Oryzias latipes: one gene and its partner. The protein of the gene in region 2 purifies or fractionates together with the protein of the main gene of each other region. This does not show direct contact. Links are inferred from orthologs where the notes say so. Each region holds a gene or a part of one and is shown on either strand. Other genes may lie near its edges. The genes, in order: cul1 and fbxw5.

Region 1 (15,841 bases), on a different chromosome or scaffold from region 2:
CTGATTTACAGGGGAACCGAACAATTTCAATGCAACTTCAGACCTGCTTCCATCTCTGCCCATCCAACACAGCCCTAATGTACTCACAAAGTCAAGTCTACATAGGGTGTTTTTGCAGTTGTCCTCGCAACTTAGGATACTTTACCCACCAAAAAGTCATCAAACTTGAACACTGAAGGATTTAGTTCGTCTCTTATGAGTCTAATCTCTGGTTGTAAGAATGCTGTCCTTCACCGGATCGCTCAGATCAGATTTCAGATTCCCACACCAAGAGACACCACACATGTACTCCCCAGTATCTGACCTGAAATCAGTTACACAGCCCGGTCATAAGGACCAACAGAGTCATGTTGTGAAACTAGAATCTCATTCCTCTTGATCATCATGAGCACCACGTCCAGGACTGTACTTCTTCATCACGGCACTGTAAAACATTTTCATTTTCAAGGAACTAATAAAATGAAATGACATTTTATGACTAAAGAAACAAACCACATAAAGACAGTTAATTTTGAAGCACTTCCAGCATAACTGCACATTTTTATTTTATCCTACTAAAATATATAGATGAAAAAAAAACTGAAAAAGGTAAAGTTGTTTTAAAATTTGAAGCAGCAATCCTCAGTTATTGACATTTCCTTAATAAAAATTTAAGTACATTATTTAGTACATTAGAATGTTTTCAGGTCATACTAAGGGTTTTCTTCCAATAAAAATACATGTTATTTTTAAATAGAGAAAACCCAGAATAAGAAGATTTGGTAGAAAAAAGTGGCACAAAACCCCTAAGCAGAGCTTTAAGAAAATCTAAGTTTTTTAGTCATTTATTTTAGGAGTTTTTTGTCAGTAGATAAATGTGTTCAATGTATTTTAATTATTTCTATGATTGCACTTTCTGTAACTAGTTAACTTCTTTAGTTAACTAAATACTTTATTTGTAGGTTTTACTCTGAAGACAAAAAAAAAAGTAAAAAATTATCCGTAAAAGTCATAAATTGATTGCGCTGTCGTTTGCTCCTATTCATCACCAACATGTAAATAAAACCGCAGTCTGCTATGGAAACAAGGTAAAGTTTGTCTATCTTCATTCGAGCACGAAACAGCAAATCTAGTCCTCCATGCAAACAAGCAGCCTGACAGCTTTTTCACTTGAGTAAAAAACGTTTTAAAGGGACAGCAAAAACTTTTGGTTTTAAGAAGAAAGAATAAGATATTCTTAAGTCTATAACCAGCTAATAAAGACAGGTCAAACATTATCTTTTAGATAATAAAAAAGGTAACACAACTATTGCTGCGTAAATAATGCATTCATTGGATTTTCACTGCAGGATTTCGTTCTTCAGGGCAGCTGAACTTTAAAGGTTCATCTAGAAAACAATTTGCTGCTCATCCAAGTATCTTTAGTTTCAGCAGCTGATGGAGAATTCAGGTTATTTATGTGCTGACTGCTACAGAGTTGTTGCTAAAAGCAACTGGACGTCACATGAACAGATGCAAATGATTCAATGCTGATCAGGGCACTTGTTGGTGGGTCCATTGTTTATCTGTGGTGGATGAATATAATCATAGTCTGTTGGCCAAAATTTCAAAACAGGGCTGAACATGGGAAACAGGAAATGTTTCAAACTCCTACATCTGTTATGAGAAGATTTATCCATTTAAACATAGATGCTTTCTAACTTCCTATGTAAACCATCAGTCCTCTGTCCTAAATGCGGTTGTTGTCTTCAAAGGAGAGTTCTGTGTCTTTCAGTTGGATTGCTGAGTCCTGACTTAATGCTATGCCTCTTCTGTTCCGTGCCAGACTAAAGTGGCATCCAAGAACAGAAGCCTGTGATACCATGACCTGGATGACTGAGAGACCTCAGTCAATTTTGATTCTAAAGTTCAAGATTAATTTTAATGACACATCTTTTGTCATTTTTTAAATTTCCATCAAAAATAGTTTGATTCTGAAAAACAGCTTTCACTCCTTTACCAGCCAAATCTGCGAGAATGTATTCTGTTTATTTGCTGCTTAAATCAAATCAGTTCTGTTCATCTCCTATTTAAAATGGAGATTCAGTGACATAAAAACGAACAAATATTTGTTTACATAAGGAAAACTGTAAATAACCAGTATAAATGATGTGCACAGTAAATTTTTGATGACAGATGAACTGAGTAGTACCAGCAAACTCAATAAAATCTGCCATTTGTCCAACAGATTACGTTTCCAAAGGGTTTATTTATTTTCAAATGTAAATCTGACAATTTACACATATCTAATAATCATTTAGGTTAATATTGATTTTTGTATGTTTTTTTTCATGCAAAAACAGCTCTTAAGTTTGTTTCTGATGAAAAAAATATTAGTTTATGAAAAATAGTTTCACACTAGTTTTTTTAAATCCCCTGCTACGTTAAAAGATTTTACAAACAGTCAATTTTGGAATGAAAATTAAAAGACATACACCAATATTGAATTAAATTGTGTCTATTTGTAAATGATGTTATGAACTAGTGAATCACTATTGAATCCATTTAATACAATGGCTATGAGACCCAATCCTAATGATTCTAGATGGTGATTGATACACAGACAGCCAAAGCTCTCCTGCATTCAGTTTCCAGCACAGTTTCTTGGTCCTGTACCATGATGATGAGACTTTTCCTGAACAGGGTGGATGCAGGGAGTGGTATAATAACCAGTCCAGGGTAGGAAGAGGCAGAGCAGCGCTCGTGGGGGGGAAAAAAACTCAGCTCAGTAAATCTGATTACCCTCGTCACCGTGTGTCCTGGCCAGACTCAACAACCTAATACCCTATATTTGGAGCATGCATGTAAACCACAGCCAAAAACGACTCAGAAACCAGCCAGGGCAGTGCCGACTCACAACAGGCAAACATCTCAGGCTTCATTGAGAGATTACTCTTGTTCCTTACAATAACGTGTAACCTAAATTATGGATGATTATGTCTCTATTGGGTAATAAAAGACTTTTTCTTTTATGTGTTTCATTACCTTCAATTTAAACCTACATTTATGCGTGCTGTGTAAAGACTATTGAAACGACAGAAATTGGTTACAGCAGACACGGTTGAATAAAAAAGGTGAATAAAGGTGTTTGGAAAAGAGAGAATTTAAAAGCAAGGAACAACTTCACAAATAAAGGATCAGCAAATAAGAAGAAATAGCAGTCTCCTCCCAACCAGAAACTTCAGAAGAGGCTGGATATCTACAAACTTCACAGAGCAGTTCGTGTTTCCCTTCACAACAGCCCATTGACCCAGCCAGTGTAGCTGCAGTATGTCTGTAAACAGACAGGATGGCCTTTTCATGGCTGCCACTCTGGCTGCGCATCTTAAATTTGATGTTTTTATGACTGACACAGAAAAGTTGTAGAACTGACTCATGAAAATGAATAAGTACTCGGCTGATCACACTGACTTACAAATGCAGAGCCACTCAAGTAAAAACTATAGAGGTGATGCGTGGAGAGCAAGTCAGCCAACAACATTCAGCATGTGCTGCACACATGCTGCTTGTAAACATCACTCAAGAACTCTCTTTGCTACAACTTTCTTTCACAAATGAAATACAAAAAACAGTTCAAAGCCTTAGAAAAACAGCAATTTGTTGTAAGACACACATAAAAAGGTAAGTAAACCTAAAAAGGCAGAAAATGCCAGCTGGCAGTCGGTGTAGGCAGTGTGTGTGTTGGTTTTAGATGAAGGAAGCTGATGCTGCTGACGAGAGTCTCCTCAAACTGACACATTCCACAGGAGAAGAAGAAGCAGATGTTCAGAAGGACAACAGATACTTCTTTGGCATTTTTTATCTCTATAAAAAGTTTTAAAAAGACATTATAAAGTTGGTTTGTTCTACATTCAGTTCCATCTACAGTTGAAACCAGAAGTTTATATATACCACATAAAAAAACACATGCATTTTTCTCACCGTCAGACATGAAATAAAAGTAAACTTTTCCTGTTTTAGGTCAATTACCATTAACAAAATTATTCCTATTTTCTAAATGTCAGAATAATGAGACTAGGGTTTAAGACATTTTTTTTATTACTTATTCAAAGTCAAAAGATCACATACGCAAAGATCACAATGCCTTTAAACAATTTGGGAAACCCCAGATGATGATGTCATCTCTGTGGAAGCATCAGATACGTTTATTGACAGCATTAGAGTTTATTAGAAACACACCTGTGGATATGTATTAGGGCACATTTAAAAACACTCTTGCTTGTTTGTAAAACATCATGGGACAGTTAAAAGCAATCAGTTGAGATATTAGGAAGACAATTGGGGATTTGCACAAGTCTGGTTCTTTCCTGGATGTATTTCCAGATGCCTGGAGGCGCCACGTTCATCTGTTCAGACAACGGTACGCAAGTATAGAATCATGGGAACGTCCAGCCATCATATCACTCAGGAAGGAGACGGGTTCCTTGTCCCAGAGATGAACGTACTTTGGTCCAATATGTCCAGAACAACCCAAGGACGAAGGCAAAAGATGTTGTAAAGACGCTGGCTGAAGATGGTAAGAATGTGACATTATCAACAGTGAAACGAGTGCTGTACAGACATGGGCTGAAAGGCTACTCTGCCAGGAAGAAGCCATTACTCCAAAAGAAACGTAGAAAAGCCAGATTCAAGTTTGCTAAAGCACACAAGGGTAAAAACTTTAATTTTTGGAGACCAAAATAGAACGGTTTGGCCACAATGACCATCGTTATGTTTGGAGGAAACATAAGCCTGGGAACACCACCCCAACTGTAAAACATGGGGGTGGTAGCATCATCTTGTGGGTTTGTTTTGCTGCTGGAGGGACTGGTGCACTTCACAAAATAGATGGCATCATGAGGGAAAGAACAGTAAGTGGAAATATTGAAGCAACATCTGAAGACGTCAGCCAGAAAGTTTGGGCACAAATGGATCTCCCAAAAGGACAATGACCTGAAGCATACTGCCAAACTGGTTACAAAGTGGCTTAGGGACAATAAAGTTTTGGAGCCTGGACCTAAATCCTATTGAAAATGTATGGTCAAAGCTGTAAAGGCGTGTACACACAAGGCCACCTACAAACTTGGCTCATTCACACCAGTCCTGTCAGGAGGAACGGGACAAAATTCCTACCAAAGCTTGTGAAAGGATATCCAAGAGGTTTGACCCAAGTACTGCAGTTTAATGGCAATAGTACCAAACACTAAGGAAATGTATGTTACCTTTTGACCTTGATAAAAGTAATAAAAACTTGTCTAAAAAAACAAAACCTAGTCTCATTATTCTGACATTTAGCAAATTGAAATAATTTTGTTAATTATAATTTACCTAAAACAGGAAAAGTGTACTTTAATGTCATGTCTGATGGTGAGAAAAAAAGCATGTGTTTTATTGTGGTGTATATACATTTTTGGTTTCAACTGTAAATTAATCCACGCATTACATACGATTCACTAAAAGTAAATAATCAAAACTCCACCTCCTTGAAATACAGAAAATTTATGCCAACCTGATCAAGCTTGGAAAAGCAATTTCAGAATACAATATCATACATACCATGATCTTTTTTGTTTATCGTTGAATAAGTAATCTATTGTCACTGGAAGTTCAAGCTATCAAATGTAAATGGGGAACACAACATCCCTAAATATACTTTTCCATATGACCAGTCAGAAAAAGTTTGAAACCTTAAAAAAAGAAAAAAATCTAGTTTGTTTTTGCAAAACAGCACCAAGTCTTTTCCATACAAAAGAACAATAACATCAAGGAAATATAAGCCAGTCTCTAGAAAAAGGCCTACATTTAAGTAAAAACGTTTGGTATTTGTTTTAATAATGCTTAATCAAATAATCCAGGGCAAGGAAGAGTGTGAAAGCCTTTCAAATTAAGATGTTTACAGTTCTTTCATGTGAATTTAAACTATTATTTCGGTCTCTAGTTATAACAATCCCATTTTTTAATTTAACAAAGTATCTGAAAAGAGCAAATATTTATTCATAAGCAAGAACATATGAAACAGATGTGGCTTCAGCTCAACTACAAGAGCAAAAACCACTTCTAACTTTGTCTTAATAAGAAACAATATTTTAAACAAAGTATTTAAAAGAAAAATTGCATTTACATGAAGAGGTGGACTTCTACACCCCATCATATGGAAGACTACCAACGAGTTTTCTCACCTGTCATAAAAACCTGTCAGGAAGTGATGAAGCGTTCATTCATTAGGGGGTGACAAGCCAGTGGTGTTTTAAACGGAAAACACCTAACAATGATCGTAATACTGACGTGGCTGGACACAAAGGCTGGGCTGTAAATTCAGTCTGGCATTCAACCCACACCTCGTCATCCTGGGCAGAGAAATAATGCTCAACGGCGCTGGAGTGTTTCAGGTTGGAGTCCGAACACGACACGGGAGGCGGACAGCGAGCGAAAACAATCCAACTAAATACGCTGATATCTAACAATTTACACTAAAGTTGACAACCACTGTTGTGATTATAGTTCAGTGTGCTACGACCGGAGTCTGACACTGCTACGCAACACCGCTAAGACTCATTAGCCGTCTCGGATTAGCTTGTTAGCCCGACTCACTGTTTGGCCCCTGTGTGAACAACTAGCCTTAGATTTACGTACGATACTTGATTTATACCGCCATTCCTTTAAATATATATGCTCCTTTTATTATATTTAATAAGAATCGTCTCTGTCGTGCCAGAAGGCATCAATCGAGTCCTAAGTGCCTTGTGTAAAATGGCAGCCTAGCTTCTTGGGCTCTTCAATAATGAGTCAGGAAAACACTTCGCTAACCGCTTAGCTTTAGCAGCTAGCGCAAAGCTAAGCTGGTTGTCGTTAGGAAAAAAAAACCACTAACAGTGAAAACTCAAAAACTAAAACGTCCTCTTACCATTTTTAGACTGTCGCTGTGGCTGTATAATCGCAGAAAGCGGTAATGTTCGGCCACGGAACGCGTCTGGCCCGGCGTCTTTCTGGTCAGTGGGTCTGCCTGGAGCGGGCTGCTAGCTGCGCTCGTTGTGCTGCTTCGTTCACACAAAGATCATCTCAACAGCCACCAGATCACGCCGCCTTCAGGTGCGCTCCGAAAGAAGGACGATCTGATGAAAAGGTCTCTCAAACTCGAAGATAGACGGCTCTTGTGAAAAACATCATAAAAATATGCATGTTAATTTGAAAAATAGTTGCCCATTAAAAAAAGTCAAATTTAACGTTTTTACGTTTCATATAATATAATTTGGACTAAACTAAATTAGCAGAGTACATCAATAATAATACTGTTATACTTGATCAAAAGTAGTTGATATGATTGTTAAAGACAGCTTTTACACTGTTGTTTAATCACAACACATTTCTTTACCACTTTAACAGCTTTGTAATATTTAATACTAGAAAACTTTATTGACCAAAGGGATATGAACGTGAACAGTATACTTGAAAATCCACCAAATCTGACAGTATTTAACCAAAATAAAGACTCTTATGTGCAGTTGTTTTTATTGTTTTTATTTATTATGCGAAACAAAAACGCTATAATTTACAGGGATTCAGTGAACGCAGCATTTGTGACGTATAAAACTACAAATATGGCGAATCATATGTTCTGGACATTTGGCGCATGCGTAGTTTGTTGTTTTAGTACCATAACGTACTTTTCAAATGTACTTCGATGGCAAAGTGGCACCTGTGACATTTAGTTTTATTTGCGTTCGATCTGTTTCTTAAACGCATTAACACAGATGTGACGCACTGAAACCAACCGTTTCCGGTTGATATACGTGCTGTTGGTTCATTAGGGTGTCACCATATTGACTGTATCTGTATCCTTCAATGATTTTGACACGATTGCTGTCAACTTCCTGTTAAATATTCCGTCAGCGAACTTAATGTTCTCTGAACGTAAAGTCCTGCCCTGCCACTGACGTGCCCTCATCACGCAGAGCGCGACCTCTGCTGGCCGACGGCAGAACAGCAGAAGCACAGTGTCAATCAGCTGCAAATGAAGAGGATTTTGAAAAGACACTGCATGTCTAAATATCACAATTTTTCTGACAATTAGAAACGAGTCAGTATTTTAGAAATAAAATAAAAATCACATGCAACAACAACAGCTAAACATAGAATATATCTAATAATGTCTTCCTGAGCACCTAAACACAAGAAAAACTGTGTCTAACTGTGTCCAAACAAAGCTTTAGCACCGTGTCAAAAACATATTTTATTGTTTTATGTTGCAGAATGTCATCAATACAAATGAACATAGATACCTGTGTATAAAATACAAAAACACTGCAAGCTAATTAACATGTCCAAAACAAAATACATGTGTGTGACTCATACAGTTGTGCAGAAGGACATGTTTTGTCAATAAGTAGCTGTATAGTTGCCTACAAATGTTTGATCTGAATGATAAGTTGAGCGGATCCAGAGAAGAAAGAAGATGCAATGGTCAGCTCGTCAGGACAGCTGCCTCCTCCACCACCTGCTTCTTCATCTGAAATAAGAGTCAAGATAGGAGAAGACACCTTCAGAAAAAGGGAGCTGATGGAGAGTGAAGCTGCAGCATCTGAACTTTAAGGAGTTTTTCCTCAGCAACTCTCCGTTGTTGGTGCCATTACACATGGATTTGCATTGTCATGCGTTTGCTGGGATTAAGACATCAAAAGCCCGAGTGCAAACCAGCAGACCTGTTTCTGTTTCCTCTTGGCTTGCATCATTTCCTGCTGCTGCTTCAGCCGTACTTCCTCCAGACTCATGCAGCCACCTGTGAAGACAGTATGAAGGGGTGCTGTCAGAGAGAACAGTTGACACCATGAACGTGTGGCGTTGGTCACGGCGCTCTCACCAACACTGCTGGGGTCGATGGACACATAGGTCATTGCTCTGCTGAGACGAAGCTCCTCCAAAGCAGCAAGCTCTGCCTCCGCCTCTACCCAGCCAAAAGTCATTCAGAATTGAATGACAAGCTGAGAGTTACAACAACGCAAACATGAACACAAAGAACACTCACTTTTCTGGATTTCCCTTCTCTTCTTTGGGTTTGGTGGAATGACGGTGAAGGCTTTGTTACTGAAATGGAAAACATCGAGTATTTACAACATTTTTTTGGTCTTGCTCATCATTTTACATTTGAATCGTATGAACTCCAAAGTGTTTTAAAGAACACAAACAAATGAAATCTGTTAGTTGTTTAGATATAAACAGAGTGATGCAAATGCAGTTTACATCATGAAGTAGATTTGAGTGACCAACTGATAAAAATCATCTGCATTTGTAGAATAATCTCTTCTTCATCTAATACATCAGATGAATTTGTTGTGTAACAGAACAAAGGTTGTTGGGTGAAGATTATCCAGGGAACTATTCAGTCTAACTTTAGATTTTAGCTCCACTGTCACATTTACACCGCAGATGTTGTGGCTGTGTAGACCTAAAAACACCAGTTTCTGAACAATGAGGATGATGATGATGAGTTTGTAATTATTAAAAACTTGAGTTTTTCTGCTTCTTTTCCTATTAAAAATGGGTTTACTATTTTTGGAGGGTTTGGGCATTTTCCCCTTATATCCACATCAAAGAGATGTTGGATCAAAATGAAAATTCAGCTATGAAAAGTTTCAGCGTTTTCTCTGGACATGAAGACACCTCACTTTTTACTAAATTCATTAGAGACCATGTTGAAGTTAGTTAGGATTAAATGTCTATAAAATTAAAAAAGACAGCTTAGACACAGACATACCAGAGGAGTTATAAAGATGTTGTCTCTGGTTGAAAACTCTATTTTGTAAAGATAATAAAAAGTGAGTGACATACATGCTTTGGCCTGCAGGTCAGTCATGTCAGCGGGTGGTAAAACGTGTGGGGATTAACCCGCTGCAGCAGATGGCCACACACAGCAGGACTGGCCCTGCATTTGCAACAAGGCGCTGCTCTGCAGTGCTGGGTGCACTCAGTCAGAATGAACTCTGTGCTGGCTGTCCTAATAAAGTCCTTTTTTTTTATTCCTTTTTTTTTTATCATAACACCCACATGGAGTTTAAATTAGATGCTTTACTGATGCTTCCCCGAACAAAAACTACAGACATTTCTGCTATGAGGTGTTTAAATTATGTTTTTGTGGAGCAATTTAACATTTAGTCCAACAGACAAATAAACACATCAGTTTGTTAGGAGAAATGAGACTGAAAGTGTAAAAAAAGTGTTGTGAAAAGTCTCGGAGGTAGTTCACCTGGATGTAAAGTCCTGTGTAGTTTCAGTCATGAGAAATTACATTATTTTGCACAGACATACTCCCGGCAGCAGAGAATCACATCTTTAGGTAAATGCTGTGAACCCCTGCTTCCCTGTCACACTGTTTTCCCCAGGTCCATCTTCACTGCCTCACCTCTGTATGAGTAGTTTTGCCTCTCTGACCCCCTTCTGCTCCTTCTGACGTGGGCACGCGCTCGTGGCAGCGCCTTGTCTCACGGAGCTTGTCGCCCTGCGCGTGTCCGGGTTAGTTCTGGACCCATTCTCTGTGGGTTTGGGAGCAGTGGACCTAGTTCTCCTTTCGCAGCTCGGCCTGACCTCCTCCCTCCTGTCGGCGGCCTTGTCGCACCTGCCGCGCGGCAGCTGCTGCGCGCTCCTCGGGCAGCTCGACGCGCGGTTTTTACGCACAGCGGCCGCTTTAGGTTTACTGTCTGCGGCGCCGGCTTCTGTCGCCCTTCCCGGTTTGTGTTTGTCAATGCTTTTCTTGGTTGCCTCCACTGGCTTCGCCTTGATAACCTTGGTAGATGGCATTTTCTCCTAAGGCGCAGCTTCGGGCTCAGATTTGCAGCAAAGTCTCGTCATCCTCGTCATCTGCTCCAACTATTAACTCAGTTCAATAGTTTAAGACGGAAAACCTTAACTTTTCCTCTGCAGGGATGTGGTTGTTAGGGAGTTTGTACCCTAGCAACCCCTGAAAAAAGTCTGACCCATAAAAGCCCAGCGCTTCTGGTTTGGACTTTCAAAGTAAACGGCCCCATTCATTAGACAGCAGTCACATTTAAAACTTTGAATTTCATTAATTGAAATCTGAAAATATCCCAAAACAAACAAAAAAGGAAGACATTTTGAAGGAAAACTGATAGAAAGGTTTTCCTTTTAGTCTATTTAATTACACAATTAACAAATAAATTACCAGTGAAATAGTGAAAAGTCAAAAAAGTGTATAAAAAACTCGTTAAACTGCTGCAAGTCTTGATTTTGTTTTTATAACTTGATGAATTTTAGATTCACAGAGCAAAGCATTTAGAACATCATCTCCATACATTTCATGTCTCTGCTTGCGGTCCTCAACTGTGTGATGTGTTTTTCCCTCCATCCATGTTTAAACTTAATTATTAGCTTTATTCCATTCGGGATCAATGGGTTGCTGGAGCCTATCCATCTGAAGGGTGAAAGCAGAGTGCAGTTCACCACAAACAACCACACAATCCGCACCTAATGGACAATTTAGATTCACCAATTAACCTATGAAGCATGTTTTGGACTGGAGGAACCCCGAGGCATTTACAAGGAGAGCATGCTCACTCCACACAGAGAGGACCCAGTTTGGGATCAAAATTAGAGAGTGATAACTGATACCGTGCAGCCTATGTGATCGTTTTCCCAAGAGCTTAAGATGATTTGTTTTGTTCCCACCATTCTTACCTTGTTCATGTATTATTTTTAAGTATCAGCAAACAACAATTAAGCAGGAGCTGTGCACTTGTGCTCAGTGGCCCTCATTTCACACTGCTCACGCTTGCTTTTCAACATAAATTTGTCCAGATCTGCAGGTATACCACTGCTGATATGGGATAGTAATTCCAGTAGAATCCCCAAAAACTATCCTGATAAATGTAAAATTAAAAATCCCATTCCAGAACTAAACATGAAGCATGTCAGGTCCTGTCTTGTTGAGGCCCCTGAGCCTGTTGCCTCCACACCACCATGTTCTGAGCTCGATTCTTTTATTCTGAAAAAACAGTTTCGTGTTTCCTGCTTGATGTTGCGTGAGCGACCTCCCGCAGATTACGCGGCGCCACGCAGCATAGTGTTGGTCCGTGCGCCTGTCTGTCCAACCACAGAGGCTCATCGGATTACTGACATGGTAATCTGTCAGGGTCACGTGACCAAACTCCGCCTGACAAAAGAGCATAATCATGCATGACTTCAGAGAGAAACGTGTTTATTGTTTGATTGATTATTAATTTCAATCTATTATTTCATATTTTTTTAAGTTTTTATTTTTCAAGTTTAAGCTTTCCCCCCTGTTTTCTAGTTAGTTCTTTCATAAAAGACTAATCTAACGCATCAGTAATTTAGTAAATGTTCAAAAACAGAAATCACATTAAAATGACTCTGAGCCCAATGAAACTGCAGAATCCAACAACGCCATTACCGCAGACAAACTCCAGTCAGAAGTGGTTTTGACTTGTTAAAATGCATTTAAATAAAAGAGAATGACTTCAAACAGAAATTCAAATGATTCAGGTTCTGTTTAACGTTTAACCAAATGTCAATGGTCAAAAGAGGAGCTAAAGAAAGGTGAATAACACGTTTGCTGCTGAGAGAAGTTTCCCAAATCAACTCAAGTGTGATGGTTTGCATTTTCCCTTGAAAACTACATGAGTGGTGCAGTGAGCTGCACGAGACGCTCCTTCAGTCACGTGGACAGTTTCGTCATATTCCTGTTTTTTCAGACCCCACAGATTTTTTTTAAAATCTTGTCCACCCCCACCCCCCCGCCTCTCCAGGCACCCCAAGTGGAGTCAGATCAAAGTTTTTGTTTTTCCAGAAAGACTGTAAGCCTAGAACTGAATCCAGCTTTTACACGAATAGAGTAGAATTAGATCCAAGAATGATTCCAATAGATTCGATAGAAATTCATGTGATTTTCATGATTTCATAACCTATCAAGATAATTGTTTAAACGATGATGAACTGGTCCGTCTGGTTTTACGTTGCTGTAAAGCAGAGCAGTTTGTGGATCGGAACCAGTTGTGTGCAGATGTGCTTCCAGTTCTGTCATCTTAATCCTGGATCGGTCGAACCTCTGACCAATCAGAACTGCAGGTAAACGTCACCTGGGTGTTAATGCCGTCGTGTGGGTTAGTTCGGTCCCGCAGAGATGTGAAGCTGACTGCAGCAGCAGCCGGCGGGGTCTCCCCCCTCACAGCTGACGGAGTTGCGTGAGTCAGCGGCGGGCGGCGCGGTCCTCCTGAGCTCTGAGTGGTGCTGTCTCGCTTCTGTCACACTGCTTCCTAAACTGCCCTCAACGCCTCCCAGCAGCGGACCAAGCAGGCCCCTCCAAGCCGCTCCACCGTGGGCCCTCGCCGGACCGATTCCCTCCGCAGTCCCGGCAGGTGAACGGTACCGCCGACTGGATCCTCCCGCGCAGGATCCCGGATTATTCACGCAGCCCTCCGCGGGGGGAAGCCTGGGCTGTGATGACAAACCCAACAAAGTGCGACACGCACAAACCCCAGCGGGCCTGCTCTGCGACGCAACTTGGCTGTAATGGCTCTCCCGGGGGTTTCAGGGGGAAGATCGTAGGTGAGGCGGCGGGAGTCATTGTGTGAGGAAGGCGGCGGCCGCTGCGCTCTCAGACGAGGAAGTGAGGCTTTATACACGCCCATCTGAGCCTGCTCACAGACAGCCGGAGCGCGCATCACACACCGCTGCAGACCTCTCCAACATGCGCTCGCCTGCGGATGGACGCCAGCAGGATTAGCACCAACAACCGCGTTTTCAGCAGGTAGGGGTCCTACAGGCTTTACGCAGCGCGCGCGGACTCCAGCTCCCCCAATGTTTTCGCCGCGCAACTTCTCCGGCGCACAGGCCTGTCTCCATCTTTTCTGTCGTGCGTGATCTCTGGCCTAACTGTCAACCGCGCGTGAAGCTCGCGAGCATCTGCCCAACACGCACGAGCGGCAGGCCGCGAGCCAGCTGTTCCAGCATCTGGCTCGCGGCACCTGCTGCGCGGGGAGGATGCGGGAACGCTCTCCGTGCGTTAAAGCCAGAGATAACGACACCTTTGGGCCTAGACGTTTACCCCCCTCTGCAGGGAAAGCCTCTGATGTTGCCTCTGTCAGGGGCAACAATGCAGCAGAAAGTTTAGACAAACCTCGAGATTCACGTTAAAAAAATCTTGTTGGGGTAATTTTAACATTTATGTTCATATTTTTAAAATCAGCAGCAGCTTTCTGACATTTATAACATTAAGTTCTTCTCATAGCGTTATCTTAATATGCAACTCCAGTTCTGAGAGATGCCATAATATTAAAGCACAGACACTTTGCAATAATTGACAAATTGGTTAAAACTGCTGCAGTCAATTTGACTTTTTTTTAACAAACTAAAATGACAAAGCCATAAAGCCACATCAATAAGAAATCCTTTCGTCCATATAAAATCAAAGATAAATACAAAGATGAGAAACAACTTTTACTGCTCAAACTTCAACATCTTTAGTTATGTTTCTGCATCTGGACTAATTTCATGCTTTTCAACAATATAGCTGCTTCTTAAGAATAAAAACAATGTTCTCTATTAAAGATGTTAAAGCACTGATGGTGGATTCAGAAAAACATGTTCAGTGCACACTTTAACACTTTAAACTCTAAAAACAAACATTTGAAGGGACCTGTAAGAGAAGAGCCAGGTTATAGCAGATATTTTCATAGATATTATCTGTGCTTTTTTGTTTAAGAAAGTTTCACCTCTTTGACAAACTATGTTAAAGTTAAATCTTAATCTTTAATCAGACATTTAGTTAAATTACTTAAATACAGCTCAGCTTCCCACGTCAGAAACCTCAGTTCCAACCTCCACCTATAGGTGGCGGTAGCTGCAAAAATGCCTACAGTTTTTTTCTGAAATGTCATAGGAGTTCTGCATAAAGGAGCTTCTGACTGTTAAATCATCCATCATGATTCTAAGATTGGAAACACTCTTTATGTCATGAACTTTATTTGTAGCTGCTGCACTTTCCTCTTCTTTTCTTGAATCAGCGGTTTGCAGGTTTGAGTTTTATATTGAACAGCCAAGAACTTAAACATGGAGATAGGCGTTTCATGTTAGATTTTATCTGGACAAAAGTTACAAATGATTCCGCTTTTGTTTTTGATAAATAATATGCATCATTTTTATTAATTTGATGCTCATTTTTCACAATAGTTTTTTTTTTTTGCTAAGATGTTGAATTACAAGAAATCAGGTTGACTCAAAATTATTTAAAACATATTTTCTGAAATAATCGTATTTGTCATATTTTAAGTAAATACTGGGACTTTTTAGAGTGTTATTTTATGCATTGTTGGGCTATACAATTACCACAAAAAAGACTATTTAGTGTGCAATGCTGAACATTTAATTGCACCTTTCCGGCTCCCCTAAACATGTGGAGGCTCCACTGCTAGGAGCTGATCTCAGTCTCCTGATTTTAGGCTTCAGTTTGGTTGTGATCATCGGCGCTGCTTACTAAATGCTGGACCCTCCAGTCAAAAAGGGGAACTCTTTAGGCTATTATAATTCACTGTGTTTTTTAGTGTTTATTTTTAGTAGAGGTTTATTTTATGGTGAGTTAGTTACAAACATGGCTGTTTTTTTTAGTGAGTAAAGACCTGAAGATCTTTATCCATCCATTTCCAGAACCCGCTGAATCTCTCAGTCATGGGATTGCTGGAGCCTATCCCAGCTTTGGTTGGGTCAGGATGGTGCATCAGTCCATCACAGAGCCACACAGACACAATCACATACACTGACACTCACACCAAGAGACAATTTAGACTTGAAACCTTTGCATGTAACTTAGATTCTGTAAAAA
Region 2 (15,857 bases):
TTTATGCCACAATTATCACAGAAATGCATGTGAGATTGTGGAGGGGCTGTAGATCAATACAGACTATGAGTGTCTCCTTTTTTTATTTTAATTTTTGGATGCTGGTGTGCCGCAGGATTTTTGTCAAGGTTAAAGTGTGCCGTGGCTCCAAAAAGTTTGAAAAACACTGCACTAAAGGATTTGAATATTGTTTACAAAAAAAAAGAAGCTTGTTGGATATTCCAAACACCTACGGGCTGAAACGTTTGTAGACAAAACTAAAATGGGTTTGGATAGAACACGGGTAAAGAAAAAAGCCAGACCGCACCGACATCAAAAGCTCATGTGAAACACTGTGGAGGATGCATCATGGTTTGGGGTTGTACAGATTGCTATCACCAACTAAAAACTGCCTTTATATGGGATTGTTGCAATCAAACTTAAGACCATCTGTCCATCAAGTGAAAAGCAACAGAAGGGAGATACAACAAGGTAATCACACAAATCGTATAAGAAAATGATAAATAGAAAGTAAAGACTCTTCCTGGAGGGGTGTGGTCAGTCACGAATTCTCTTCACATCCATACAAAAAACAGAAACAGCTGTATAAAAAGCAACGACAAAGGAGGTTAAACCAGTTATTGAAACCAAAGGTTCACATACTTCTCTAGGAACTGCATTTACTGACAGCAGGGTGTTGTCCCCATAGTTGGCTGAGTTTCAGTTCTCTGAAGCTTTTGCAACGAAATGTATTCTTTGTGCTTTGGGGGAACCTCCCTCCATTCAACCCAAAGATCAGATCTAAGTTAAGCACTTGTTTTGTCTGAGCTAAGGATATGTGGACGGCTGCTGATCACTATAATTAAAAACAACCCAGCTGCATGTGAATGAAGCACGTGTGTTTCTTTAATGCTACAGCAAAACACTGCTCAGAACTGACTTTCCAAGGTTTTTTGGTTCCTGAAAACAGTTTGTAATCTGACTTAACCTTTAACTTTCAGTCAAAGGTTACTCACTACGTCATGTTCTGGCTACTTTTTCTTGCGGTTGTACTTTCCAGCACATTAGCAGCGTTCACAGAGCCATACACCATGAACTGTTCATGAAATGAAACAAAATGACTCGGTAAAAGATCCGATTTGAGAAACGTTAAGACCCCTTACTCATCATGTGAACAATGCAGCAATGACACGGACGCTTGCAGTCATTCGGTTGAACAGAAGTGACTCAAGGGAAACCCAACCTTAGATGGGGCAGAATTGAGGTAATGCCTGAAACTTTTGCTAGAAATGAAAATGAACGTATTAGTGAACAGTCTACATTACAAAAGTTATTACCATAGCAGCATATGGATACATTAAGAGGATTTATGTTTTTGGTAGAGCACACTATGAAAACATGTTTTTTCAAACATTGATTGCATTAATTACCTAAGGAAAGCAATAAGAAATTAAAAAAAAAAACTGCAAAACTTCTTTGAAACCCGAATTTTGGAAATTATCTTAAGAATTTTCCATAAAGAAAAGTGAAAACACGTCCTGCATCATTTCAAGAACATCTAAAATTAACAGAAACTGCCAAGTCAAAAATGAAAGGATGAAGCACTTCATGTACAAACCAGTTTTTGGATTATTATCTTTCAAATTTAAAACCTCAATCAAGTGAGGAGACAAATGTCCACTATGAGCATCTCCTACCGTCTTATTTAGTCTGGACTCAAAAAATCTTTTTGTTTCTCTTTAAAACAGTCAAATACAACAGATTTAAAGATGAGGGTTATTGTAAATCTATCCAGAATTCCATCATAGTGATAACTAAAAACTACAAGCAGAGGAGACCTGGATGTCACTTCAAAAAGTGAATTCATCAGTTACAACTAATTTCTGGCTCAATGCAGTTTGATGAAATATTACTTTGTCACATTTACTTCCTTTAGGGAATATGAAAAAAATATTTTTAAACAACTAGTGACTTTAAATAAAGATTTCTTCTTATTAAAATAAATTCTTAAATTTCAATTGAATGCAAAAGCTATTTATTTTACCTGAGAAATATTACAGAAATTAATTGGGAATGGGATTTGTTTGATTTTTTTTTTTTCTTTTTAAATTCAGCTCCAAATAAAATTTGAGTTGTTTAAACAATAATGAACACATTTAATTCAAAGAGCTTTTATTCAGTGAGGACATCGACTTGCAGAAACTGGAAAATTCGGCAGTTAGAAACAGACATTTTCAGACCTGAGGTACACAAATGATTTTCTTTTTGTCTTAATGTGGCATCGGAGACATCCAAATAATGCAGACTCATCTAAAAACATGTCCTACAAACCTAAAAGCTGATCAACAGTAAAGAGAAACATCAATGTGGCAGGGTTTCTTTATCTTTACTTCAGGGATTTTTAAATATGTATATTCATAAAAGAGGATTACTTTCATAAAAGGGGGAGAGAGAAGATTTTGAAGCATGAATGTAAAGAAAGATGCTCCAATGCAGAGAACATTAAAATATTCTACTCCCCCGCGCATTAAGAGATGGGTTTTTTTGAGAATGTTTTGGGCAAAGAAGCACATCACACAGCTGCAATTGTCACTGATAACGCTGCACGTTTTAAAGGGCTCAAGGGTTTCTATAGCAAAAGAGTCAAACGTGACATTAAAAAACGCTTCTTTGACCTGAAACGTGAAGTTTGAAGACATTCCTTCCATGAACTGTGTGGGTGAATATGCTGCTGGATGCACTTCTACCTTCCTTACAAAACTGTGTTACATCTTTGCAGCCTAAAACATCATAGTTATTCTCATTTTATTCATTTATTATCATGATAAAGTCTGGGTTTTTTTGCATTTTGTGTTAATTTGAGAGTTACAACATAAAAAAGTTTCAAACGGTGAGTTTTATCAGAGCTCAAACTGCGTTAAAGGAAAAAAACAAAGTGTAGAGTTAATGCTTTAATCTTGTGCCACATTTATATTATGTTTTTAAATGTTCCAGCGCCTGTTGTGCACATAAATAGTGACAGTTGAAAAGTCGCTGGCATCTCCCTTTTTTAATTTAGACCGTCAAGCAGGCATCAGTTTCTGGGGTTCCTTTCTTAGAAGAAATTCTAATTCTTCTCATAAGGAGGCTTACAAATACACTTTCATATTACACCGACGGGAGTAACAACCAGCTACAAAGACCTCTTTTTATACAGTCATGCTTTACGCCAAATACTCCTGGACAAATCTTTTGGAATAAATTACTCGATAAATCTACAAAGAACAATAGTTCCGGGTCCACAAAAGCATAAAAACCTGACAACCGTAAAACCAAGGAAGACCACAGGGAATACAGCTCAAGCTGGCTTTCTCCTTTTTTTTTTTTTTTTTTTTAACTCTTTTGAATCAGGATTTGCAAAGTTTTAATCGGGAAACATATTAAATCTTTCTATGAATTGGCAAAAATAAACATAAATCAGTTACCGGCCCAATAATGAGGACGATGGAGAAAGAAACGGCTGCAGTTGGCATGACTTGTACTGCAGCAGTGGCTTCCTCTGTAGATCAGTCTGATGACCTTAGGAGACACTTCGGGACATTGGTGATGTGCATTTAGGCAGCAACACATGACTGTTTCCATCTGCTATGCTTCATTTCAGCAGTTTCTGTAGCGGTTTCTCCATTGTGTGGTGCAACGGCGCCCCCTTGTGTATAGACTTGAGTCACGCGTCTCCTGATGGCGTTAGGTCACTACAGAGACTCGAGCAAAACCACAAAGTTGTAACCACACTGTACACAAACATGGAGTGTATGTTTGGCCGGCGGGGTGACCAGGCTTCTTCACCCTGCTCCATACCTCCCAGAGAGATTTTCACCCGGGCTCAGGGTTTTCCGTTCACGCTGCCGGCGGCTGTGGAGTTTCTGGTGCGGGTGAGCCACGACGGCAGGAGGCTGCGGTGCCTCAGCTTCCGAGGAGACGCTTGAGCGAGACGGACCATCCGCGGCGAGCGCCACACCTTGATGGTGGAGTCGTCGCTGGCGGACAGCAGCAGCTCCTGATCCGCTGGGCTGAACGCCACCGAATTCACAACGTCGTCGTGCGCCAGCCGGGCCAGACAGATGTTATAGTGTCGGTCCCAGATGTAGCCGTGCTTGTCCTCTGCTCCACTACAGATGGAGATCGCAGGGATACAACGTCAGGAGGTCAATTAATAATAATAATGGATTAGATTTATCTGTGCTTTTCCAGACGCTCAAAGCGCTTTAACAATTTAACAGTTAAGTCAAAGCATGATTTTAGCCTTGAATGTTTTGGTTTAAAACAAACACAACAAGTATAACACCAAATTTTGATACCTTTGGAATAATTCCTTGCAAATTTGATGAACCTTCCCCCCAACTTTGTTTTTTTTTTAAGACAATTTTCACTCATTTTTGACCTTTTATTTATTTTGTGTGTGGATTTATTCATTTTAACTTTGTCTCTGCTCTTTTTTATAAAACATTAAAATAGTTTGAGCTCAATTTTTGCTGAAAAATAAAAGACAAATTTTGCAAAATCTCGGGTTTCTTGTTGAATTATTGAGTAAAATAATCAAAAATATATGTGTGGTTGTACTAAAAGATTGATATTAGGCATTAACCCCAAAAAACTGTTTTAAAGATGAATTAATGGCGCAAATTCTAAAGTAAAACAAAAGTTAAAAAAGCGTTGAATGAAATGAGTAAGATATACTTTTCTTGTCTTTTTATTTTGGGAAATTGTTGACTAAATTTTGCTTTCTTTTAATTATTTTTGGTATATTCAACAGAAAAAGTCCCCAACAGTTGGAAACATGACCACCCACAGGGCAGAGGTGTTTCTTTCTGCAGGAAATTAAAACGTGGGGTGTTGTGATTGGAAACTCCTTCTTGCATTGTTATAAATCATTTAACCAGCTATTCATTTTTTTTAAAAGGACCAGCATGTTTGTCTGAAAAGCTGATTTATGGCAACTGACCTGGCAACAAAGTCTCTGCTGACATCGAGGAAGATGAAGAAGCACTCATCGTTGGGTGTGAAGGCCCGGTGAGCCCGCAGGCTCCTCCTTTCCTCCCTTAAGCTCTTCAGGTCAATGACGTGAAGGTCTATCTCTTCAGCGATGGGAGGCGGAGACATGGGGTCAGAGATGACGCATCCCGCTGGCCACGCCCGGCTGTTCACATAGAGGTACCTGAGTAGTGACAGCAGAGGAGAACGCCTCAGAATTTGCTGTTTTCCTACTTCATGGCGTGGCTCTGTGTTCTGAGGATGCACTTGAGAGGTTTTATTATCTTTACCTGTGGTCCGGTGACAATCCCATCCCAATGATGTGGCCGTGGATATCAATAACATGGTCCAGGGAATCAAAAAACTCTGAGCTCCGCTCTTCCCCAAGAACAGGACCAGAAGTTGTCATCTGGTCTGGTTTGATTCTCTTAATGCCTAGAAGATGAGAAAAAAACTCGCATGAGAGTTAAACTGAGATGTATCTATTTACTCTGGAGTATTTGAAATCTTACCGATCTGGTGAGGAGAGTATGTAAGGCTGCCGGTGGTAAACAGTAAATACGTTTTGTCTTCATCTTCCGCAGACTCAGCGGACTGGATGAGGCTGGACTCAGGGGCCTTTGTGTGGACTCGGCCCATCATCTGAGCGACCTTGGACTCGATTTCTCGATCACTGCTTCTTACATTTTTACAACTCTGAAAGAAAAATAAGTAAGAATGGGCTTCCAAGCCAAAATATATGGCAAAAATCGCCTTCATTAAACGTTTATCTTACATGAATAACCTGCTCCAGGCTTGAGACAGAGGATTGGGGACGACGGGCAGAGAAGCTGTGACCTCTGGAGTCCCGATGATAGTCTTCTTCTTCCTCCTCCCCTTCCTCCAGCTCCTCTTCACTTCCAGAGGCTCCCAGGTCGAAGAGGAGCGGTTGGTGCTGAGAATGCTGCTCTCCTTTCTGCCTCCTGGCCTGAGACTGAGCCTCATAGTCCAGCAGCAGGTCTGGGTTGTCATGGCGATGGCAGTGAGCCACCATCACCGTACGAATGGTGCTGGCATTGATGTTTTGGATCTTGAAGAGGCGCTTGACCACATTGACGTTTTCTGATTCGATGTCCTAAAAGAAGAAAAATATGTTATTTTGTAGTTTGGACTTTAGCAAAGAACGAATATTAAAAGAAAATTCTGGCTCTGTCTCACCTGGAAGGCTTTGTTGAGCCAGAGAACCGAGCAGGATGTCATGTTGCCGATCCAGTGCAAGTTTCCAGAGATCAGGTGAGTTTCGTTTAACCAGCAGCCAAAGACATCATACGGCTTGTTTCTAACCCGCGACAACAGTGTGTAGTTTTCTGTATGGGTGCATTGAAATGAGACGGATGAGCAACAAATCTCATACCTCTACAATTTGCTTTCCATGAAAAAATAAAAAAATTAATCGGCCTAAAATAGTTCTATTGTTTTTTTGTGCTTGACTGTCATCCTGAAAATGCTGGAAGCGACATAATATTGTATTTCAGTTAGATGTAACAAGTTTAGATTGATTTCATACATGTTACTCATTCTGAGTTTACATTTTTTGTTATATTTGCTTAAAGATTCCTCTGATCATCTTTGGGGTTTTTTCCCAGTGTTCCCAGTGTCTTTTTTTTTATTATGATTATGCTGTTTTTCGCCTAAATCAAAAAACCTGTATAATTTTCTAGGACATAGTTTCTGCAGAGCGGCAGTAGTTCAGTAGAAATTTGAGTTGTGGGCAGGACAGTTGCCGTGGAGCAACCCCGCCCCCCTTCCCCTCCTTGTTCCAGGGCAGACCAGACAGCTTGTGGCCCACCCTGTCAGTGCATTTTCTACACCTCAACAAAGCGGCATCAAGCAGGGATTTTTTTTTGTCTGCACCTGAATCACAACAATTTGCATAAAGAAATACTCAGAAATGCAACTTGAAGCTTATTTTCCCAACATATGTCCACCATCATCAGAAAAAGGTCAAAAATACGATTTTTAGAGGGAGTCTTTAAAAATAATCACAAATACATTATGGTGGGGGAAAAAGATTATTTGTAACCAAGGTGAAATCTGAAATCAATCCTCCAGATAAATGTAGAAAACACTTTTTTAAATTCATACCCATGCTTATGACGGCGATTTCCCCTGACGAAGAGTGGTGAGGGCCCAGATAGACTCCAGAAACCAACAGCAGGCTGTCGTCAGCGTTGAACTGGGAGAACTGGGTGTAGCCCCAGTTGAACTGGCGCATGCTTGAGCTGTGTACCAGTGAAATAACTCCATCTGGCCTCTCCGTGTCCCACAGCTGCAAGAATACGACGGGTTTAAAACAAAAAAGTGGATCGCTTTGATTTATCTTGTAAAGGAGTTTTTTATGGAAACTAACAGTGTCTCTTTTCTAATCAAGTTACAAAACGCATCTTCTGTCGTGAAGTTTAATAGTTTTGTTACTTTTTTTAGGATCAAACAGTCACAGCTCACTTTGGGAGACAGAAAATAAAAGGAAGCCAACATAAAAGTGACATCATCCTACCTTAACTGTGCAGTCTTTGGAACAGGAGGAGAAGCGGTGACCTCTATGAGAAAAAGCTAAGTGTAGAACCTGGTCGCTGTGCTCTCTAAGCGTCTGAACTTCCACACAGGGGATACAGTCATAGAGGCGCTTGAACTCCCTGTACCAGGAAAAAGCCGCTGCACACAGAATCAAAGTTACTTTAAACGTGTATCTTTGAGGAAAAAAAAGTTAGAACATTTTAGTTGAAATGCTTCCTAGAAAAACACAAAGTATTTACAGGGGTGTCGAGGTACAGAGCGGGGTATCCGGTAGTAGTTGTAGAACAGCTCCCTCCACAGGAACTCATCTCTGGAGACGGCCTGCCACTGTCTGCAGGTCAGACCAGCTCTCAGCACGGCAGTGTGAGACAGACGCAAGAAGATCTCCAAAACCAAGCTGTCGGGCAGAAGTAGACAGCCCTCCATCCTAACATCCTGAAACACACGAGTACTTTATGTTAGCTTTATGGCTGTTTGCTTCTGAGTCACAAGAACACACACACTTTAAGTACGTAACTTGTTCCTATTCATTTCTTTCCACTCAGCTTGGCTTTTCTCCAAAGCTCTGCAGCAGATCTCTTTCTCCACATTCAGAAATAACATGTAGTGTTGTGAAATTTACTGAGCTGAACCAAAGCCATGCTTCTGCTAATAAAGACCACAAGCTGACTTTTAATTAAACAAAATGGTTTTATTGCAACCGAATGAAGCCTTTATTCTCTGTTAATTTAAAGATTTGAAACTAACCAACCAATTCAGTGGCCTTGTGGTACAGTTTCTGCCCTGAGACAGGAAGGTTGTAAGTTGAAATCTACTGTGGAGTTGTACCAAAGACTAAAAATAGGGTATGCTTTACACTCGTAAGATAAGATGAACTTTATTGATCCTGCTGTGGGGAAATTCAATTGTTACAGCAGCTCTGGGGATCAAGCATTAAGGTGCAAGGAAAAATAAAATGGGTAAAACAATCACAGGTAAGGTAAAAACAACATTAAATAAAATACAATTCTTCAAAAACTCTCATTATAAACACTGTAATGAACTGACGGAGAAAATGAAAAGCCCCGGAACTAAAGAAAAAAGCAGTAGAGCATTGAATGTTTTTGTCAGGAATAAACCATTATTGCATCTGTTGTAAGACTGTTTAGTTGTCCAGTCCAACAGCGGTTGGAATGAAGGAGCTGCGGTACATCAGCATGAAGGGCTGGATTTGGGTTAAATCCAGAGCACAGCTGTGTCTGCAGCTCACTGCTGCCCAAAGGGATGGGTAAAATGCAGAGAACAAATGTCACACACCAAGGTACGTGTATGACAACTAATGGGCCTTTAACTTTCAATAAAAGCAGTACTTTAAAGTTTGCATCAACTTACTAAATAATCCTAATAATTTTCTTTGTATCAATCTCTCCTTATAAACCTTTCCCTTTGCTATTAATCATGGCACATTTGGGTATATCTATAAACATTTCAGCAAACGTATTTTTAAGTACCCTATCCAAAACTATCAAAAATAATTGATATTTAAAAATCACAAAAAAATGCTACTTTGTAGTACCAGGCGTCAACCTGAGGCTCCCTAATGTTGTCATGTTTATATTCAAGAGAAAAAGGATGAAGAAACACCAAACAGATAATTATAAAAAATAAAATCCATGTTTGACTTTACTTTCTTGCATTTTTAATTTAAGTAAATTTGCTGCAGCAAAAGGATCTTATTTAAACAAGGTGTGTTTTATTTTGAAAGGAACTCGTATGTGCATTTGTCTAGAGTAAAATAAATTACCGGTAAAATATTCATATATAGGAAAAATATCACACTGTCTTAATTAAATTATTGTAAATACATAAAAACTACATTTTATTAGTAAATGGCTTAAAGGTTACAAAAACATAAATAAAGGGTATTTTCTAAACAAAGTGAGACTTTGCAGCTCTTGTTGGGTTTTGGTGAGTAAAAAACTGGACCAAATGGCTCTTTTACTGTTAAAGGTTACAGTCCTCTATATATAATTACTTAAAATGTTTAATTCTCATGCCATAATGAAACTATTCAGAGCACTTCCCAACTATTAGATGCTAAAGAACAAATAAAATCTTGCTGCTTTTCGGGCCAGTAGATCTATCATCTAAGCGTTCCTAATGTAGCCAGTTTTGGCAATAAATGTTCCAAAAATAAAACTCGTTGTTCGTGTTTGAAAAGCAACAGCTAAACAAAACGTAACTAACTGTCATATAAGAGTTTTCTCTTTTAATCCGGTTTTGGACAAACTTTAAATTTTGGGAGTCAATTTTTCTACTTCTTCTAGTTCTTCAGAAAGTCGCGTCCTAAGCCAAAACAAAAACAAAACGGAACTCTTAATAAAAAATAAAAAAGATGAATATATGAACTCTTAAAGTGTGTTCTCCCTCCCCCTACCCCATTTATTTATGTAACTACAATAACAATAACTAATGTCTTAAACGTTTTCCTTCATAGCTTGTGTGGCTCAACATATTTTGCTGAAGAGTTGTTTTTCTATGTAGTTCAATGGTGAATCCTTATCCTGTTTACACCAACAGCAAAATCGGTTATCGTATGTGTCAACATGAACTACTCGGATATATATCAATTTTAGCGCGTTTCTAATCGATTTACGATATTTCTTTGCAGCTAAAACAAACAAATATATCTATCTAGCTAGTTAAACCGGCTAACTTGTTAAGAGCTAACTAGCTGCTAGCTGACATTTGTCTCAACTTTTAGCTAACGAGGCTAAATTGTCGCAACAAGACGCGGTTTGGCTCCCAAACAGGCAGTGTCATCTCACGAGTTGACGAGTTAGTTTGCGTTCAATTAAAAAACAAGCGATGTGAAATGTGACTCACCTGCTGATCAAAGTTTTTTGAAGAGAAACATTTAGGCTGCGTTGAAGGCTAACCGCACAAAATGAAAACAATCGCCCAGCAACACAGCGGAGCTTAACAAGCAGATAGCAGAGGCATCGATGCGGAAAGACCAACTCAATCGATTCAATCTTTTCGCTGCTTGAAGTTAGTTCCTTTTTATTTTATTTTGTTTTTTTTTTGTTTTACTTTCTTTATAGTTGCTGTATTAAGGATTCTATAAACTGATGTTTATTTCTTCCCATGATTCCCCTCGGCATTCACATATTTATTTGACGTGCTTTTTATAAATAAAGTTTTTATGAAGTTTTTTCTTCCCATGTGAAATATATTTGAATAAGAACATTAATGCACAAGTTAGGCTTTACTCGACCCAAGAGGAACAAATGATGCATTTTATTTTATTATTTTTGTAATGTTCACCCTTGTCACATTTTAAGTGGAACTAGACCTGCACTTTAAATTTTTAAATCATTAAAATTAAATCATTTTTAAATCATGTTGTCAGACTTCTACATGGTCTTTTATTGTGTTAATCTACACTCACAGCCACTTCATTGGGTACACCATGCTAGTACCAGGTTGGACCCCCTTTTGCCTTCAAAACTGAGAGTCTGATCCATATTGACATGATAGCATCCCGTAGTTGCTGCAGATTTGTTGGTTGAACATCCATGCTGCCAATCTCCCGTTCTACCACATCCCAAAGGTGATCTGTTGGGTTGAGATTTGGTGACAGGGGAGGCCATTTGAGTCCAGTGAACTCATTATTTTGTTCCAGAAACCAGTCTGAGATGATTCTGCTGGAAGTCACCATAAGAAGACGTTACACTGTGGTCATAAAGGGATGGATATGGTCAGCAACAATACTCAGGAAGGTTGTGGCATTGTATTCATGCTCAATTGGTACTAAGAGGCCCAAAGTGTGCAAAAAAATGTACCCCACATGAATACACCACCAACAGCCTGAACCGTTGATACAAGGTAAGATGGATTCATGCCTTCATGTTATTGAAGGCAAATTCTGACCCCACAATCTGAATGTGGCAGCAGAAATCCAGAATAATCAGACAAGGCATCATTTTTCTAATCTTCTATTGTCCAATTTTGGTGAGCCTCAGTTTCTTCTTCTTAGCAGACAGGAGTGCCACCTGGTGTGGTCTTCTGCTGCTGTAGCTACTCTGTCTACAGGTTGGATGTGTTGTGCCGTCAGATATGCTCTTGGTTGAAGACCTCAGTTGTAACCAGTGCTTATTTGAATTACTGTTGCCTTTCTATCAGCTGAAACCAGTCTGGCGATTCTCCTCTGACCTCTGGCATCAACAAGGCATTTCCACCCACAGAACTGTCACTCACTGGATATTGTCTCTTGTTCAAACCATTCTCTGTGAACTGTAGATATGGCTGTGGATGGAAATCCCAGTAGATTGGCAGTTTCTTAAAGACTAAGACCAGCATTCAAAGTCACGTAATAATCTTTCTTCCCCATGCTGATGCTTGGTGCAGCAGATCATCTTGACAATGTCCACATGCTTAAAGGCATTGAGTTGCTGCCATGTGATTGGCTGATTAGAAATTTATGTTAATGAGCAGTTAGACAGGTGTTCCTAATAAAGCGACCAGCGAGTGTATTTACAGCACCGCAAAAAAGTACAATCACTGATTAACTTCTTCAAGAAAGACAAAAAGCAGATCTTTTTAACTTGTAACACATCAATGAAGTCACAATAAATTGTCACCTGGTTTTCCTTTTTTTTTCTCCGGACCAATGTTGTCATTCATGTTTAATAAACCTATTGGAGCACTAAGTTGTAACTGTACACCTTACGCGTGTGGCAGCTCTTGGTTCAGCGCATCAACATCTGTAAGTGGATAACAGGAGATTCTGTGACTGATACACTGCAGTGTCACTGTGTTCTGGGTTTGGTGCACTAAAAAGGAAGACATATAACTGATTGAGGACTTGCATCTCCATACAGACCACGAAAAAGACATTTTAATGTGAGGAGCCATGCTGTGACTAATATTTTCCGGTGAGTTCTGAAACATATTTGTTCTGTTGCAAAAATAGTATTTGTTGAGCTCAATTTTTACAAACTGTATCAGCTTTAGGCAAGCCATTAAGTTTACAGTATACATTTAACGGATTTAAGAAAATCTATTTTGAAGCATTAAATGCTGTTTTAAAAATTGTGAAATCTAAGAACAGGATCAGATTACCTGTTCCTGCATCGTCTCAGTGTGGCTGATTAAACATCCAGACCCTTCCTGGCCTTTTTCAGCTCTGCACAATGCAGCTGTGTGGGTATGCTCTTGCTGTGGATCCTCTGGGAAAGAGAAAACATCAACTGGTTACCAGTGTAAAGGTGATTTTCATATGTAAAATAATTAATTTAAGTTTAAAGAACCTATGACCTAATGACTTCTCCTGTTGTGCAGGAGAATCGGTGTGGACAGTCTGTGGAAATGGAAAAGCTTCTGGTTACAGCCCTCAGAAGGATGGATAAAAGCAAATCTCCATTGACAAAAGAATGCCTTCCCACTTAGGATTTCAAAAATGGCTGTACATCTGATATATGTTGCACTGCACTTAAAATAATGACGACCTATCTGAAAACTTCCTATTTGGAAGGTGGATAGAGTCTGAAAGCATATAAGTGCACTATGCGACTCATTCATCTGGATACTGTAAGCCTTACATCCTTAATGCACAAATTTGTTTGAAAAAAGAAAAAAAGGAAACAAAAACTCAGATTGTGTGATTGTCTTTTTCACCTAAATGTGTAACTTGTCCCTCCATCAGAGGACCTAGCTGCTTGTCTAGCTTTTATCTGTTGTCTGACGCCATCTCGTGGAGATAAGATGCAACTGCATCAAACAATTATGCCCTATCGCTGACAATTCCAAGTTAATGAGCTATTCATCAGTTTTCTTAATAATGATGAAAAGTAACATCAAAATAAATCAAAATAATAAAAAATGATGAACAGTAATCATTCTGAATAACAATATATCCACAACTCCTCCCGCTGTCGTGCGTCGAAGTAAATATCTGTGTAAATCAGAAAGTTGAATTTCAGTGTTTTACTGGAACTGCACTTGGAATAATATTGCAAATGTTATTTTGATGTCCTTTATTTTGCAAATAATTTCTTTGAAAAAAATCATTTTTTCAGAACTTTTAGTATTGTTTTTTTGGAGAATTTCTTTTTTTTACATTTTTTCTACGCAGTGAAGATGAAAAAAATTAACAAAACTTTTCACATTGAAATCCCCATCTGTAATATTTGAGTAATTTAAGTAAAGCAATTTTATAAAAAGTGATTCTGAATTACTTTGATACACTTTTAAAATTTAAACTGTAGTCCTGACAGTCCTTCTCACATAGTGGGATAAAGACTGATTTTCAGTTTTTTAATGACAAACCTCACAATTTTAATAATTTTTCACAATGTTTTCACGTTTATATTTTTTTATATGTCTATTAGATAGTCAAAAACATTTTCAACACCTTAAATCTGTCTTTGATCACTAAATTCCTTTAAAAAAACTCAATCATATAATAATCAGTGTCACTACTTGAATTTTCAATTTAAAAACAGTTACATTAGTTTTCTTTAATTGCAAAGAAAACCTAGAAAATTAAAGAAAATCAACAAATTGCTTTACTTGTCAAAGAGTAGCTTCATAAAAAGCAGTTGGAGATGCTTGTCTAAACACATTTTCATACTGCTCTGCAATATGTCTTGTTTGCTTTGTTGAAAATTAAAGCCATAAAAGTTTGTTTATGATCTTAAATAATCTGCATCGGGAAATAATTCAAATTTTGGGGGGATTTTTTTTCTCATGAGGGACGCATTTTAAAAAAAAATCTTGCTAAAAGATTAAAGTTTCCCAATGCGTTTTAATAACACAAATTCAAGACTAAAAAACATTCAACATATTTTCTCATTTGGGATGTTTGAAATCTACTTCAAGGATCAAGTGAAGTTATCCGAGTTATCATACTGTCATGTTTTTTATAGGGGAAATACATTGGATGAAAAGTGCAGGAGAAAGATTTTTTTTTTACAATATTGCATCTTTAATTTGTTTCAATCAACAACGGTATTTACATTCACATGTACAAATGCAGCTTTAGAATTCCATATTTCTTCCAAGTCAATGTTAGTGACAACTGGAACTGTACAAAACGGAGGACAGGCCTGAGCTGGTGGGATGAGATGAAGCTGAAAGATTACTGGATGTAAAACTGTCAGCCTGAACCGAAGTATGACGTCACTAAAAGTAAAGACATCTTGACCAAATATTTAGGCTTCCAAAATACAAAAATCAACTTTTTCCACGATGTAATTTGGCCACGACCGAACAAAAATAGCAGGAATCTGAAATTTACAGTCATCATGAAGGGATTTTAAGAGCACGCTTTACGGCTGCAGATACAGTCCTGGGCTGGGCCTAAAGTGCAACGTCGTTCCGCGCGTGTGACAATCATCATAGCACCACAGTGGGGATGTGCCGCACCAGAGGCATCTGGTGCGCCCTGGCAGTCATCTGCTGGGGAGGAGGAGACGCTTGAGGCGCCGCGTCTGCCACGCCGGGCGACGCCGGCTTGTGCCGCGCGCTCTTCTGGTGCGCCCTGAGGCCCGCAAGCTGCGAGTACGCGCTCTGACACACGTGGCACTTGTAAGGCCGCTCGCCGGTGTGTAAGCGCACGTGATTGCGCAGTGTGGACGACTGGCTGAAGCGGCGGTTGCAGAAGCGGCAGACGAACGGCTTGTCCAAAGTGTGGATGCGCATGTGAGAGCGCAGGTTGCTGCGGGAGTTGAAGCCGCGGTGGCAAATGACGCAGCGCATCCGCCCACTGGTGGTGGTGTTGGAGGAGAAGGAGGAGGAAGAAGAGGGAGAGCAGGAGGAGGAAGATCCATCAAGGGCGTGAGAGTCGTCTGGGGGAAAAAAAGAGTGTTATAAATCTGCAACGTTTTTCATGCAGGATTAGTCAAGTTGTTTGTATTTTCTTGGATTCTAGAAAGCAAAAACAAACCCTAACCACAGATTTCTGATTTTAACAGACATATAAGTGAAATAAAACAAGATTTCTTCCAACTTTTTATTGGTTCACATGCGCATTAGACAAGAGAAACAGGAAACATGTTTTTTTATAAATCAAACATTAAATGATCCGACATGGTAGAGATGCTTTCACCCATACTTGGGAGGAGTAAAAACTGTCAAATATTTCAAGAGTTAAAATATGGATAGTTTAGTGCGTCAAAAATACGTTTTAGTCATTATGACAGATGAAGGGTTGGTTGTTCTCACCATTTCTGTTTTTCTTGTGATGTTCTTCATCAGTTCCTGGAACTCCGGGAATTCCCAAGAAGGTGTTGTGTGTGTTTCCATACCAGACAAGAAGCTCCTGGTCTGGT

What was found.
Region 1: the proteins of fbxw5 (region 2) and cul1 purify together in Homo sapiens (affinity purification with western blotting; 9 studies listed by BioGRID and IntAct, with this or other methods). This does not show direct contact. The link is inferred for Oryzias latipes from reciprocal best matches to the Homo sapiens genes FBXW5 and CUL1.

Annotation. Positions count from the first base shown.
Region 1 is NC_019878.2:3,212,974-3,228,814, reverse strand, and holds the start of cul1 (cullin-1), read right to left. Parts: upstream 7,059-15,841; 5' UTR 6,902-7,058; intron 1-6,901. Other genes in the region: uncharacterized protein LOC111946577, read right to left, coding at 8,459-8,503, 8,697-8,773, 8,855-8,938, 9,020-9,078, 10,394-10,788. UniProt on the Homo sapiens protein: Core component of multiple cullin-RING-based SCF (SKP1-CUL1-F-box protein) E3 ubiquitin-protein ligase complexes, which mediate the ubiquitination of proteins involved in cell cycle progression, signal transduction and transcription.
Region 2 is NC_019870.2:12,258,930-12,274,786, reverse strand, and holds fbxw5 (F-box/WD repeat-containing protein 5), read right to left. Parts: upstream 10,634-15,857; 5' UTR 10,411-10,633; intron 7,981-10,410; 5' UTR 7,972-7,980; coding exon 7,785-7,971; intron 7,684-7,784; coding exon 7,526-7,683; intron 7,298-7,525; coding exon 7,114-7,297; intron 6,336-7,113; coding exon 6,187-6,335; intron 6,104-6,186; coding exon 5,765-6,103; intron 5,686-5,764; coding exon 5,502-5,685; intron 5,425-5,501; coding exon 5,280-5,424; intron 5,174-5,279; coding exon 4,961-5,173; intron 4,128-4,960; coding exon 3,842-4,127; 3' UTR 2,135-3,841; downstream 1-2,134. Other genes in the region: prdm12 (PR domain zinc finger protein 12), read right to left, coding at 14,923-15,374, 15,751-15,857. UniProt on the Homo sapiens protein: Substrate recognition component of both SCF (SKP1-CUL1-F-box protein) and DCX (DDB1-CUL4-X-box) E3 ubiquitin-protein ligase complexes.